Coturnix japonica: one gene and its partners. The protein of the gene in region 2 interacts with the protein of the main gene of each other region in a pairwise test. Links are inferred from orthologs where the notes say so. Each region holds a gene or a part of one and is shown on either strand. Other genes may lie near its edges.

Region 1 (3,645 bases), on a different chromosome or scaffold from region 2:
TTCCATTCATGAACCCTGTCAGCCAACTGTAAGATAGAAAACAAACAGGATTTTCAGTCTTCTTGTTTTTTTGAAGACAAGGTGACACTCATTACTTCCATGACCTAGAACAGCCAGTAATCCTAGTTCATCTAAGACTTTTTCATAGCTTTCAATTCTCAATTGATATGGATGTTTGTTTGTTTCAAGTTAGCACTTAAACCACATTTAGTAAGTTTCAGAACACAAAATACAATCTAACTAGTTATTGTTATTATTTCTGAATAAGCAAGGTGTTACTGAACCCATTTCTATGCTTAGACCAATTTGGTGTTACTCTGCTTAGATCCTGCTAAATGAGCTTCTCTTCAAGATGCGTATGTACTGGGTGGAGTGGGAGGATTTGTACTGTCTTGTTACCTTTCCTCCTTTAAATTCTTCTCCTTTTTCATATTTGATACAGTTGCTTATAAAGATTTTGCTGAGTTTAAGGAAGAGTCTGCAAATGTCAAGGGAACTTTAAAAGAGACTGGAGGCAAGATGAATTCCAGACTGTTTATAATTGCATATTTCTGTCTGGTAGGATGGTAATTACCTTTAGGAAATACTTTTTTTTTTTTTTTTTTTTTTTTTTTTTTTTTCTTAAATTGATGCTGTTCTTAGGGTTCATATCAGGTATTCATAGCTTTCTGATTCTGGTATGAATATCATTTTGTTTTTTCAGGTTTGGACTAAGCAACAAATTTGAAGCAGAATTTCCTTCATCTTTAACTGGAAAGGTGAGTATCTGAACAGCATCAACAACAAAAAAATAGAATTTGATTTAAGACTTTTGCTATTAAAAAAGCAAAAGCTTAAGTCATGGTCCATTCACAGAGTAATAAATCACACTGTTGTGGTAATAGGTAGTTTGTTTTTTCTTGTAGGTTGCTCCTGAGGAATTTAAAGCCAGCATCAGTAGAGTTAACAGTTGTCTTAAGAAGAACCTTCCAGTTAATGTACGATGGCTACTTTGTGGATGCCTTTGCTGCTGCTGCACTTTAGGTTGTAGTATGTGGCCAGTTATCTGCCTCAGTAAAAGAGTAAGTTGAACTATTCTTATTTTTGTAAGTCAGAATTGTATTGGCTTTGCTCCTTTATTTTTCCTCTTTTTTCTCATATCCTCTTTTTTCTTGGCAGCTTTAATAAAATATACTACTGCTTACGTAGATGAGTTTGATTTCATATGTTTTGATCTCTCTTGTCTGTCATACCACTTAAAATAGGCACCAGTCAGAATGCTGAGCTTACAACTCTGTGACTCGTAGTTTAGCACAGTGTCTCTGCTAGAGCCATGTGCTGTACAGCACTTACTGTTAAAGTAATAACTGTGCATTTTTAATAGCTTCTCTGTGATTCTGTTAGGAATCATCAGAATTGGGCATTGACTGTTGTGAAAGGTATTTATGAGTAGTTTCTAGTTATACTGTGACCTAAGTAGCCATATGCTTGCATTTACAAATGAATTTTTTAAAGATTGTTTTACCTTTCTTCCAAGCTGGAGATGAGTAAGGTATTTTTTTCTTGCACTGACAGCTAGAAATTAGTGTTTTGTCTGAGTCTGCAACACTTGGTGTGTTGTTCATAACAAAAGCTTTTTGCATGTGCCTAATTTTTTACCTCCCTAATCCCATTGCAAGTAATTTTGCAACCCTCCCCATCTCTTCTGTTCTCACATGTGTAAAAATTTTGGCTAATCCCATTTCACTTATTTGCAAGAAGTCTCTGTGCATTGCCATCCTCTTCTTGTATTGGCACTGTAAATCTTTCCAGTTCACGGTGATGCTTGTGTGTAATCCATCTTGTGTAATACCCGTTAATGCTGCAAATCATTGTACTGTACACTGAGCGCTATCGTGCTTTTCTTTACTGAGGACCTCATTTTACACAGTCAGTAAATCAATGCTCTAAAATTGACAGTGATTGTATGCTTCTGCAATGTGAGCTTATAATTTTATTTGCTCATCTTTTCAATACTGATCAAGCATTTGCAGATGAAGGCTTCTGCACAAATGCACACCTGCTTGAGCAAGTGGTGTTGCTAAAACCAGAAGTTGTGCAAGCTCCTTTTGTAGTTTTAGTATTGGTATTACCATTATATGTTATAAAAGCTATGTCTGAACTCCTGAAACTCCCATGTACTGAAAGCAAACAAACAGAAAAGAATAGAGCAGATTTCTTTTGTCCAATTTTTTGTGTAAATCTTAACAAATACTCTCTTGAAGGGATTACTTTAAATTAGTTTTAAATGTATGTAGATTAACCTGCTGGTAATATTGGAGTCCTTGGAAAGATACAGTTGTCAGTTTGAATTATTTCAAGCCCTTGGTTTTGTACCTTTAAGCTGTTACGAACTAGTGAGTTTCCTGTAGGATGACTGTATATCCATATCCTGAAAGTCTACTGCAGGAAATCAGCTGATTCATTCAACAGATAAATTGGTGCCCTAACCAGCTTGCAGAGATAACTATTTTCTGTTCCAGTCTAGCTCTGTTTGTTAAAAACACAAGGGAAACTCACATCTCTACTGTCCCTGTGTAACTTCAAAGCCGAAAGCTTCTGATGTTCTTAAGTTTTGTCCCTCTTCTCAAGTAATGAGCTGTTGTAGCAGAATGTAACATGGTCATAAAAGTAAAGCTGCTTTTGGGAGGACGAGGCTGATGCCCCTTAATCCAGCACTGAAAGTCACTACTAGTAATCAACTTCTTAATTCATTGTTTAATAGTCAGAGAAAAGGTAAGGGCTCATAGTATCTGGAGCCAGGAAACAGAGTTTCAGTCTGAGGAAAGAGGTTCTGTGTATGAACCTAGTGAAGCAACAGAGGAGTGCTTCAGTTGAAGTTAGCTTGGGATGGGAGTTATGGCAAGCTCTCTTCCTGAAGGATAAATCTGGAAACAATGTATGGATGCCCTGTTCAGAAGAAATTACTTAAGGAATTCCATACTTTTTCCTGCACTGAAGATGAGTGATTCATGCTGGATTTACAAGCTTAAACCCCAGTGAAATTAAAGGTAGGACTCAGCTGCCTGAACATTGTGTTGTGCCACTGTGAGTGGTGTAGTGGCACTAGAATTTATGCCTATAGCCTTTTTGATAGCACTGAATACATTTGTTCAGGCTGTTTGATTATTGCTGTGGAATAAAAATCCTTTAAGTCAGATGTTGTGGCAACATCATTTGTCTGTATCAGCAGCACAACATATAGATGTCTGCTTAGAGGATTATTGTCTATCAGGTGAAGACCTGTGAACTCAGTCGGGTGAGCTGATGACTATAATATAGAGGAGAGTTAATTAACTAGCAAGTACAGGAGTGCTTTCCCAAATTGAACTCTTAATCCTGGAACTGGCTGAGGAAGACTTGAAATGAAAACAGCAATTTCAGAGTTTTGAATAATAATAAATAAACAGTAATTCTCTTGTTTTTTTTTTCTTTGCTGCTCACAATGACTTTTTGAATTCTAATATGTGAATGCAGTCACAAATGTAACATATTTTGAAGCTACACACTTCGAATGGTTGCTTATATAACAAGCATATATGCTTATTTTTGTGCATTTATGTGAAAATTAAGTTATGGATTTGTCTTGTTAAATCAAGTCCTTCAAACTAGGCATTTTTTAAATCA
Region 2 (4,115 bases):
CTCCAGGGTACAGTGACTGTAGTTGTTTCATATTAAGAAATAAGTCATCTGAACACCCAGCTCCTTTCTGAAGGGAAGCAGCATGAGTATTGCTAGATGTTTCATATTATTATGTTTAAAGATGCATGCAATTTAAAAACTAACATAACGTGATGAAATCAATCCTGTGTTATTGCTAAAATAGTAACTACACTGTGCAGGTATTACATGTTCCAAATTCAACAGATTTCTAACGTTACTTTTCACCTCCTTCCCATTACCTGGGTCTGACCAGGTTTCTCCTGCATGCAGGCAGCCTTGTTAGTTCTCATATGGGTAGGGATAGCATCACTAATGGGAAAGAAGCAGAAGGAGGTTCAAGAAAAACCCAGATTCTCTTTAAGATGCCTGAAATGAATACATGAGACATACTGCATCACCCGCTGTTCTAGTTAGACAAGAAAACATTCTCAGTTTTCATGTGATTAAGATGCCCTTGTTTTAAGGTGTTTCTCATCTCCTTCCTGCCCTTCCCCAGTTCCCTTATCAGCTGGTTGCTGTAGCAGACAGAGGGCTGTTCCCAGACTGCTTTGTGCTAACCTTCACTTTGGCAGCATGTCTGAAGTGAGCACTTGGTCCAGATACATAAACCAAAGACTGAATTCAGACCAAACAGAAAAATGTTCCCATTCACTTGTCTGTGTAAGCTGTAGATGTCCTGCTCAGGACAAACAACAGCTGTGGTATCCATTACATGTACTTTAAGGTAGGAAACAACGGGCTGTAGCTGTCAGATGCTTTGAATAATGTTTCTGGAATTTATTTACAACAAATCACCCTGCATACAAGTTCTTGTTAGAGCTGGGAGCCGCGTGGCTCGCTGCTTTACACTTCGCAGTTTATCCTCACATAGCTTTTTTGTTGTAACACCCCTTGTTAAGAAACACAGCCTATTTCAGGGCTTTTTCTCAAACTGCTACCCCTAGAAAAGGAAAGAATTGAACCAATCTGACCTGTTCTGAAGTTAACAATTTATTGTGCACCCGTGTCTCTACATTGCAGATACCTACAGTCAAATGTAGAGTGCATTCTCCTGATACAGGAGAACACGTTTGTCTGAGAGTCACTCTGTGATACTAGAAGCACGCAGCACTTTTATGTGAACATCCTACAACAATTCTGCTTTTTTCCTGTTACCTGTTGGCAGCGTTTCTGTAGCTGAGCAAAAGACAGAACGTGGTACTAAACTCTTATTTTATGCTTTCATAGCCCATCTAACAAAGCAATTCAGATGATTTTTGTTCTAAAAGTAAGTCTATTCAGTAGTAGAATGCCTTTGTAGTACAGGATGTCTAAGTTGAAGTCTAACTGTAAAATTAAACTAAGTGGAAGTTTGTCCAGCTGCTGCCCTCCCTGAGCTCCTGGGCAGGCTGTGAAGGGCTGCAGGTTTGTGTTCAGTGATGTGTCCTCACAAACGCACTCCTTGATTTCTACACGTGCTCTGGTTGGTGGGTTGTGATAAGTTTCACTAGTGCCCAGCCTTGCTGCTCCATTTATGTGCACTTGTGTTGCTTGGTTTTAGAATGATGACTATTTTCCAGACTGTACAAGTCCACTATAGCAGGACGTTTCACAGATGTTCCCTTAAGGAACCTATCTGCATTTCAGCCTGCCCATCGGTTCACTTTCTCCTTTCCCTCTGGCAGGCTGTCAGTGCCTTCCACTTGGGCTCGTGAGAAGCTGATCCTTCGGAAGAGACGTTCCAGGTGCAGGGAGAGCAGTCAGCGACCCCTGGAGCGGAGCAGTGCCCAGCCCCGGCCGGGAACCAAGGGCGAGTATTCGCTCACGGTGGCAAAGAGCGAAGTTGAAGCAGCACGGCAGGAGAGCAGCACGGCTCCACCATGCACATCTTCTACCCCACAAATAACGACGCGGAAAAATACCAAACCCTGACTTCAGATTTTCAGCTCATCCCTTTGACAGCAAACAATGGCTTCAGCACCTCATTTCAATGGATCTCTTTATAACCTGTGGCCGCGGCAGCATCCCGCACACACACACACAGCACGCGGAGCAGCGCTGCCGCCTCGGGACGGTTCCCAGCGCTGCCCTGTGCCTCGTACGGCGGGTTCCGACTCAGCTCCCGCACGGAGCAGCCGCCCGTCCCGCCCGGTCCGAGCTCCGGAGCTCCCGGCTCGTTCTTTCCATCGCCGCGTCCGCCGATGTCTGTACCGCAGATCCATCGCCGTGTGCCCGCGGCTCAGCCGGTACCGTTTCTCCCTCCCGCGTGGTCCCGCCGCCCCATCCCGGCCGTGCTCCATCGGGCGCAGCCCCCGGAGCCGCCCCGCTGCCGGCAGGGCCGGGCACGGCAGCAGCCGCCCGTTCCGTCAGACAAAGCCGCACCGTGCCGGTACCGGCGGTCCCAGCTCCCGCCCCGTGCTCTCCCCGCCGCCGCCCCGCGCTCCTCCATCCGCCCCGTCCCCTCCGCCCGACCCCCCGCCCCGCCGTGCCGTGCCGTGCCGTGCCGCCCACCTTGCTGCAGGTCCTGCTGGTCGTACCACGGCTCATCCTCGCGGATCTCGAACTCCTCCACCAGGCTGTCGGCCAGCATCGCGCTCTCCCCTCTCGGTCCGGTGGCCGCGCTCACCTCGCGCCGGGCGGCGGCGGGGCCGGGCGAGCCGGCAGCTCGTCGCCTTACCAGCCGGCTCCGGGCATTGCCGAGCGGTTCCGGACTTTGCCGAACCTCTCCCCCTTCTGGTCGGGCCGCGCGGAGCCGCCGGCGACAACGTGGCACGGAGCGACCGCCCGCCCACCGCCGGGCCGCGATTCAAACACTACGCCCCGCCTCCTCTGCCGACAGCCAATGGGGAGCCGCCCGCAGGGCAGATCGAAAGGAGCGCCGGCCAACCAGGAGGCGAGTCCGTGGCGGGCGGCCAATGAGAGAGGAGGAGGGGTCGGTCCCGCCTGGCCGGCCCCGCCCCAGCGTCCCGCTGCGCGGCCTCCGGGCGGAGGAGGTCGGTGGTGCCCGCGGGAGGGGCGGCGGGAGCGGGGCCGGTGACGGGGCCGGGGCTGGCGGTGGTGTCGGTGCCGCGGGTTGTCTCGGTGCGGCTGAGGCGGCACGGGGCGCTGGGAGCGGGGCAGGGCGTGGCAGCTGCCCGGCCGTGCTGCTGCGTGTCCCCGCGGGGCGTCTCCTCACGCGGAGCCCCTCATCGCCTCGTGAGGCCCCTCAGCCCCTCAGCTGCTGCCGCTCCCTGTGAGGGCTCTGACAGGACGGCTCCGTCCCTTGGCTCCCTGTGCCGCTCTGTGCGCCCCGCAGTGCCGGGCAGCCCAACCTTCTCCTCCCGGCTCTCCCTGAGCGGTGCCGGTTCTTTGCTGTGCCCGGCGCTGCAGCAGGAGCAGCCGTTGCGCTGTGCCTCAGCCCGCAGCGCTTTGTGCTGTGCGGGGCGGCTCACGCGTGTTAATTGCTGTACAATTAAAGAGCACGTCTGTGGGGCAGGGAGGTGTGTGGGACCTCAGCTCCTCCAGGAGCCGGTTCATAAACGAGCCGTGCCAATAACGCAGGGAGCCGAGTCAGACCCTGCGCGCAGCTGTGAGTCATGGCGCTGGAGGCGCATTGTTCGGAGCCTTTTGTGAAACAAACGATACTTGGGAGTTTTCTGGAGCGACGGGAGCGATTTGTCTCTTATTCGTGCGTAGGAAGGAACTGAGTCAATACGGCTCGAGAATGTTAATGCCCAGCGTGTATCCGAGGGAGATGCCCGCGGTTCTGCACTGGAACCTGCCCAGGGTCGCAGCCCCGAGGTCTCACATACGTTCGGTGTATTTGTGAAGATGTGGATACACCTTCTAACAAGAACACGATGTTTTCAGTAGCGAATCACCCTTCACGTTTTCTTTATATCCCTCTTTTGAAGCATGAACGTTTCACGCGGCCATCGTTTCAATGCTGTTGTTCTTTGTAGGTTTCTCGGTTCAGTTTATGAAGCCGAACTCGTTGGGGAGGTGCAAAGTGTAATCACCTGGAAATGGGAAATTCCGTAACAGATGAATTTGATGACATGCATGACGGCCCCGCTCAATTATCTGCAAATTGAGTCATGTTCTTACCGATAAATGACCTTTGGATGTTGTTAGAG
Region 3 (4,420 bases), on a different chromosome or scaffold from region 2:
GGCTTTCTCCCTAACTCGATGCTCTTTTCCCTGACGAGGAGGTGGTGGAAGGGGCAGCATTAGGATGGAAAGCTGAGAGCTCCTCTTTTGCTTTCTCCAGATTGCTGTGACTGGGTACGGAAACGAGCTGGAGCGTCGTGATGGATGTTACCTGCTTAAGGACATCAAAAAATGGACCCTTTTTGACAAACAAGTGGAATTCAGATAGAGACGAGGTGGAGGTGGGCGGGAAGCTCAGTAATTGCATTTTATTTCAGTCTTTATGAATTAGCTCTGCCAATTCCTTTAATTCAAATAGCTTTTAAGTAAACTTCTCAGCTGCAATTACAGTAAAAACAGACTATACTACATACAGTCAGCTTTCACATATAGGAAGAACGTTTTTTCTTGCTCACGTCTGAATTCTAGTTTATAGGAACAATGGCAGGGTTTAATTTTCTGTCATTATGCACAGGTTAGCCTAGACTGGATATTAATAGACACACACATATTCACACCCACGGCCACAAGTACCGCATCAATCAAATTTGGAAGATAAAACTTACACTCCATGGCAACTTGAAGGGTGCAATTTTCTTTCTCTTCTTTCATCTTTCTAAAATACCTTCAGCCATGTAGAAGGCATTGGAGGTGATAGACCCAGCCAGCTTGGAGCTGCAGGAGAGCATCCAGGGCACATATGGGGAGCACTGATTTGCTTCAGGGACCACTTAAGCAAAGCAATGCCTGTAAGTATGTTGGTGTGCAAAGCACCTTGCAGCAGCCCAAGAAATAGGAAGCCTCAGGAGAGGGCAGGCAGCCACCCAGCTGTCCATACATGGGTCCTGCTATGGCCACCGCTCATTCCATGCACTGGGCAGCTTGTGGCATAGATCAGTATTGCCTTGTTGGCTGCACAGTCTGCACTTGTGAACCTCTAGACCTAAAGCACTTATCCCCACACGTCTCTGGACACTTTAAAATAATTTAGCAGCTTATTTATACATGCAGGCATACATACACGTGAGCACACAAACCGGCCCAGAATAAAGATAGCAGAACGACCATAGGAGGAAACCTAAAACCTCACTGACCAAAAAAACAACAAACAAACAAGCCCACAAGCCAGTAGATGGTAAAAACGAGACAAAAAAGGGCTTCAGCTTTATGCAGAAGTGGCAGTATATCCTTAGACACACACTATAGGCTGTAGGCTCAAGCATAGAAGAATCACGATTGTAGATTGTAGAATGGTTGGTTTGGAAGGGGGCTCAAGGATCACGAAGCTCCAACCCTGCGCTACGTGCAAGGCCACCAACCTCCACATTTAATAGCAGCCCAGGGTAATTAATACCTGCCCGGGGTAACACACAGCGATAGAGCAGCTCCGCTGTGTGACGGGACTCCTGAGGAACCCAACGGACGGCGCCCAACGGCCGCGGGTGGGCGGGGCTAAGAGCCGAGGCGGGGCCTGATTGGTTCCCTTCCCCCGCCGCGCGCCCAGCCGGGATGAGGCGGAGTGCAAAGAGGGAGCCGAGGCTATAAATAACCCGCGCTTCCTGATTGGCCGGTGGGAAAAATGGTCGCACCACGTGACTCTCCATCTAAAAATTCCAAGATGGCGGATCCCGTCACGGGCTGAGTCCGTTGGTGGCGCGCGCGCCGCCCGTGTCCGCCGCCGAGCTCTCGCCTCACGGCTCCACGCTCCTCCCACCGGTAAGCAGGTCAGTACGCCGAGCCTCTCGCGTGGCCGGGTAGCCCCGGGGCACAAGGGCTGGGCGAGATTCTGCCCGCCGGCTTTTAATCCCGGCCCGGCCCTCCCCGTGGTTCCCTAAGGCTTCGACGGGGCGCGCGGTTGTTTTCCTCCGGGCTCCGGCCGCGCGGTGCGGAGGGTTCCGCAGGAGGGAGGTGACGGGCAGCTCCGCGCACCAATCGCGTTGTCCCTCGTGGTGGATTTGAGCCGCTGTGCGACGCGATTGGACGCGGAGCCCGGTGGGGGCGTGGCTTCCGCTCGCCCCTCCTCCCGCAGCCGGGCGGCGGCGCTGGCGTTTTTTTGTGAATGAGGCAAAAGGGGGCGGGGCTACGGCGTTGGCCACGCCCACTCGCGGCCGCGCGTGGCTCCTCCCACCCCCGGCAGCAGCGGCGCCGCCTCGGAGCCGCGCGGGGCTCGGCGCGGAGCGATGCGGGCAGCGGTGAGCGGCGGGGACGGGGGCGGCGTGGGACGGGGGCGGTGGGGCCGTGCGGGGCCGACTGGGACCGACTGGCGCCTCCTCGGCCCCGCACGGTCCCACCGCCCCCGGGTTTGGTGGAAGTCCCCGAAAATGCTGTGTTTTAGCTCGAGGGATGAGGTTTGTGCTGCGATGTTGGGGTCTTAACTTGAAACAAACCACAAAAAAAAGGGGGAAAAAAGATGGCTTGCAACGCGCGTGGCTCTGCGTAAGGGAGGTGCTGCGGGCTTTTGCTGCAGGAATTTGTCAGAGCGATGCTCGGCGCTATCATCTCCGAGCGGCGTGGCCTCTGAGCAGGGGAATGTGTTTGCGGAGCGCTTAGTTGCCATGATGGTAGGGCTGTATTTGGGAGCTGAACCGGCCTTTGATTCAAAGCACTTGCGTAATTGTTTTGGGGCATGATACGGGAAGGTTTTGTCGCTTGCTCGTTGGCACCAACTCGGCTCGTTGCTCCCAGCCTCCCCTAAAACGCTGCCTTGAAGCGAAGGGGAAGGTTTGTGTGTGCTGGGTCGGATGGGTGCCCTGTGCTTGTCCTCAGCTCCATGCTCGCTAACGGTGCCGCGATGTGCTGCTGTCACGGGCTGCCTCCAGCTGGGGCCGTGTTCCCTGCCAAAAAGCTACCTGAAGTTAATTATGCTTTGATAACAGCGACGTTTCTAAGGAGCTCTGAAGTTTATATAATAATCTGCTTCTTGGCAAGGCTGCTTTTTTTCTCCTTTTCCTCCCCCCCCCCCCCCCAGCCCCTCCCGCATTGAGTTCTGCCTGCTCTGATGTTTCCAGTGCTGCCGCGTGGAGTTCCCAGCCCAAAGGCTGCCTTTGTCACTCCTCAGCCTCTCAGAAAGAGTTAAGAGGGCATTGAATTAAGAAAGCTCAGCTGCTTGTATACAAATATACCGCAATTACAAGGCACCAAAGTTATTGCCGAATCCTCCCGTCACCATGGTGATGTGCTCACTCAGTTCCATTTGGAGATGTAAAATGCCACCCAGTTAGAAAGAGGAAGTTTTTTAGCACTGCAGGTTTTTCTGTACCAAGTGAAACGTGCTTTCCAGGATGTGTCTGCTGCTCTGAATGGCACGTGCACCTGCCAGGTGTTGTCGCTGACGTTAAGCTGTGCTCTCGGTTGGCTCAACTGAAGGGGGGGAAAATGATTCTGATAATCTCAAGTCTTTAAAATTCATCTTTCCCGTTCTTGAATTTCTTTGGGTTTTTGCTTCAGGGTTTGGTTTTGTGACAAGGATGCTTTAGAACAGCCGGATATGTGTTTTGAATGGCTTGTACAGAATGGGTTGGAAGGACGGGGTGGCAGCTTTCATCCTTTGCACAGGAGCTGCCCCTTCAGATGTGTGTGTCCGTGCAGCACCGTGACCTGCAAAACCATTCAGCACTGTGGTTTTCTTTGCCGTCTCTGCTTACATAGAGCTGTGGTTTAGCAGGCAATATCGGTGGCAGGTGGATGGCTGGACTGGATATCTCAGGGAGTCTTTTCCAACCTTGGTTATGTGATGTGTAGGCAGGTCTGAGCTGTATGGCCAGGGTCGGGGGGCAGTGGGTTCCATGCCCCAAGTATGTGATGTGGTTGGTGGGAGCGAGTCTCATTTATCACTTTATGTTGGCTTACAAGCAAAAAAGAATGAAACGGAAGGAAGAATTAAGCAAAAAGAGGGAGCTGCTTGGTTATGGGTTCCTGGAGAGGTGGAGCTGATTCCAGCCTGCAGCATTAAACCATGCAGTGACCTGCAAGGGCAGGGAGCTGGGCTTAGTGAAAATGAAAGGTAAAGTTGAGCAGGAGCCCGTGGGTTTAGATTACGTTGCCCTCCTAATCTCTTTGAAGTGGCTTGCTGCTCCCTGAAGCAGACTTCTTTAAAGCCATCGGAAGATGCCTCTGGGATCAGAAGCTTGGTGCAATGGCTGAAGCTTTCCCTCTGATCATTTGTGGGTTTCCAGTTCTGAGGCAGCTACAGCCTTTCTATTGCATGAACATACCCCAAACCAGATAAGACAAAGTGCTGAGGAAGAATGTTTCCATTGCCTATGTAGTATATGACAGTCAGGTACTCCAGGTCATCTTTCTGTTTCCAGAGCTGAGAACAGCTAAGAGCTCACCATGCACTTACCAAGTAACTTATGCTGAAAGCAGTTTGCATGCTGGATGTCCTTTAGAACCTGCTGCACAGCCTGACCTCAGGGACTGAGGGCTGACAACACGAGAG

What was found.
Region 1: the proteins of CDR2 (region 2) and CHIC2 interact in binary tests that used the Homo sapiens proteins (3 or more experiments, as listed by UniProt). The link is inferred for Coturnix japonica from reciprocal best matches to the Homo sapiens genes CDR2 and CHIC2.
Region 3: the proteins of CDR2 (region 2) and HDAC4 interact in binary tests that used the Homo sapiens proteins (3 or more experiments, as listed by UniProt). The two-hybrid records come from large-scale screens. The link is inferred for Coturnix japonica from reciprocal best matches to the Homo sapiens genes CDR2 and HDAC4.

Annotation. Positions count from the first base shown.
Region 1 is NC_029519.1:59,090,758-59,094,402, forward strand, and holds part of CHIC2 (cysteine-rich hydrophobic domain-containing protein 2), read left to right. Parts: intron 1-703; coding exon 704-758; intron 759-905; coding exon 906-1,061; intron 1,062-3,645.
Region 2 is NC_029529.1:8,363,023-8,367,137, forward strand, and holds the start of CDR2 (cerebellar degeneration-related protein 2), read right to left. Parts: upstream 2,802-4,115; 5' UTR 2,591-2,801; coding exon 2,512-2,590; intron 1-2,511.
Region 3 is NC_029522.1:2,887,045-2,891,464, forward strand, and holds the start of HDAC4 (histone deacetylase 4), read left to right. Parts: upstream 1-1,585; 5' UTR 1,586-1,695; exon of another isoform or gene 1,696-1,703; intron 1,704-2,077; exon of another isoform or gene 2,078-2,171; intron 2,172-4,420. UniProt on the Homo sapiens protein: Responsible for the deacetylation of lysine residues on the N-terminal part of the core histones (H2A, H2B, H3 and H4).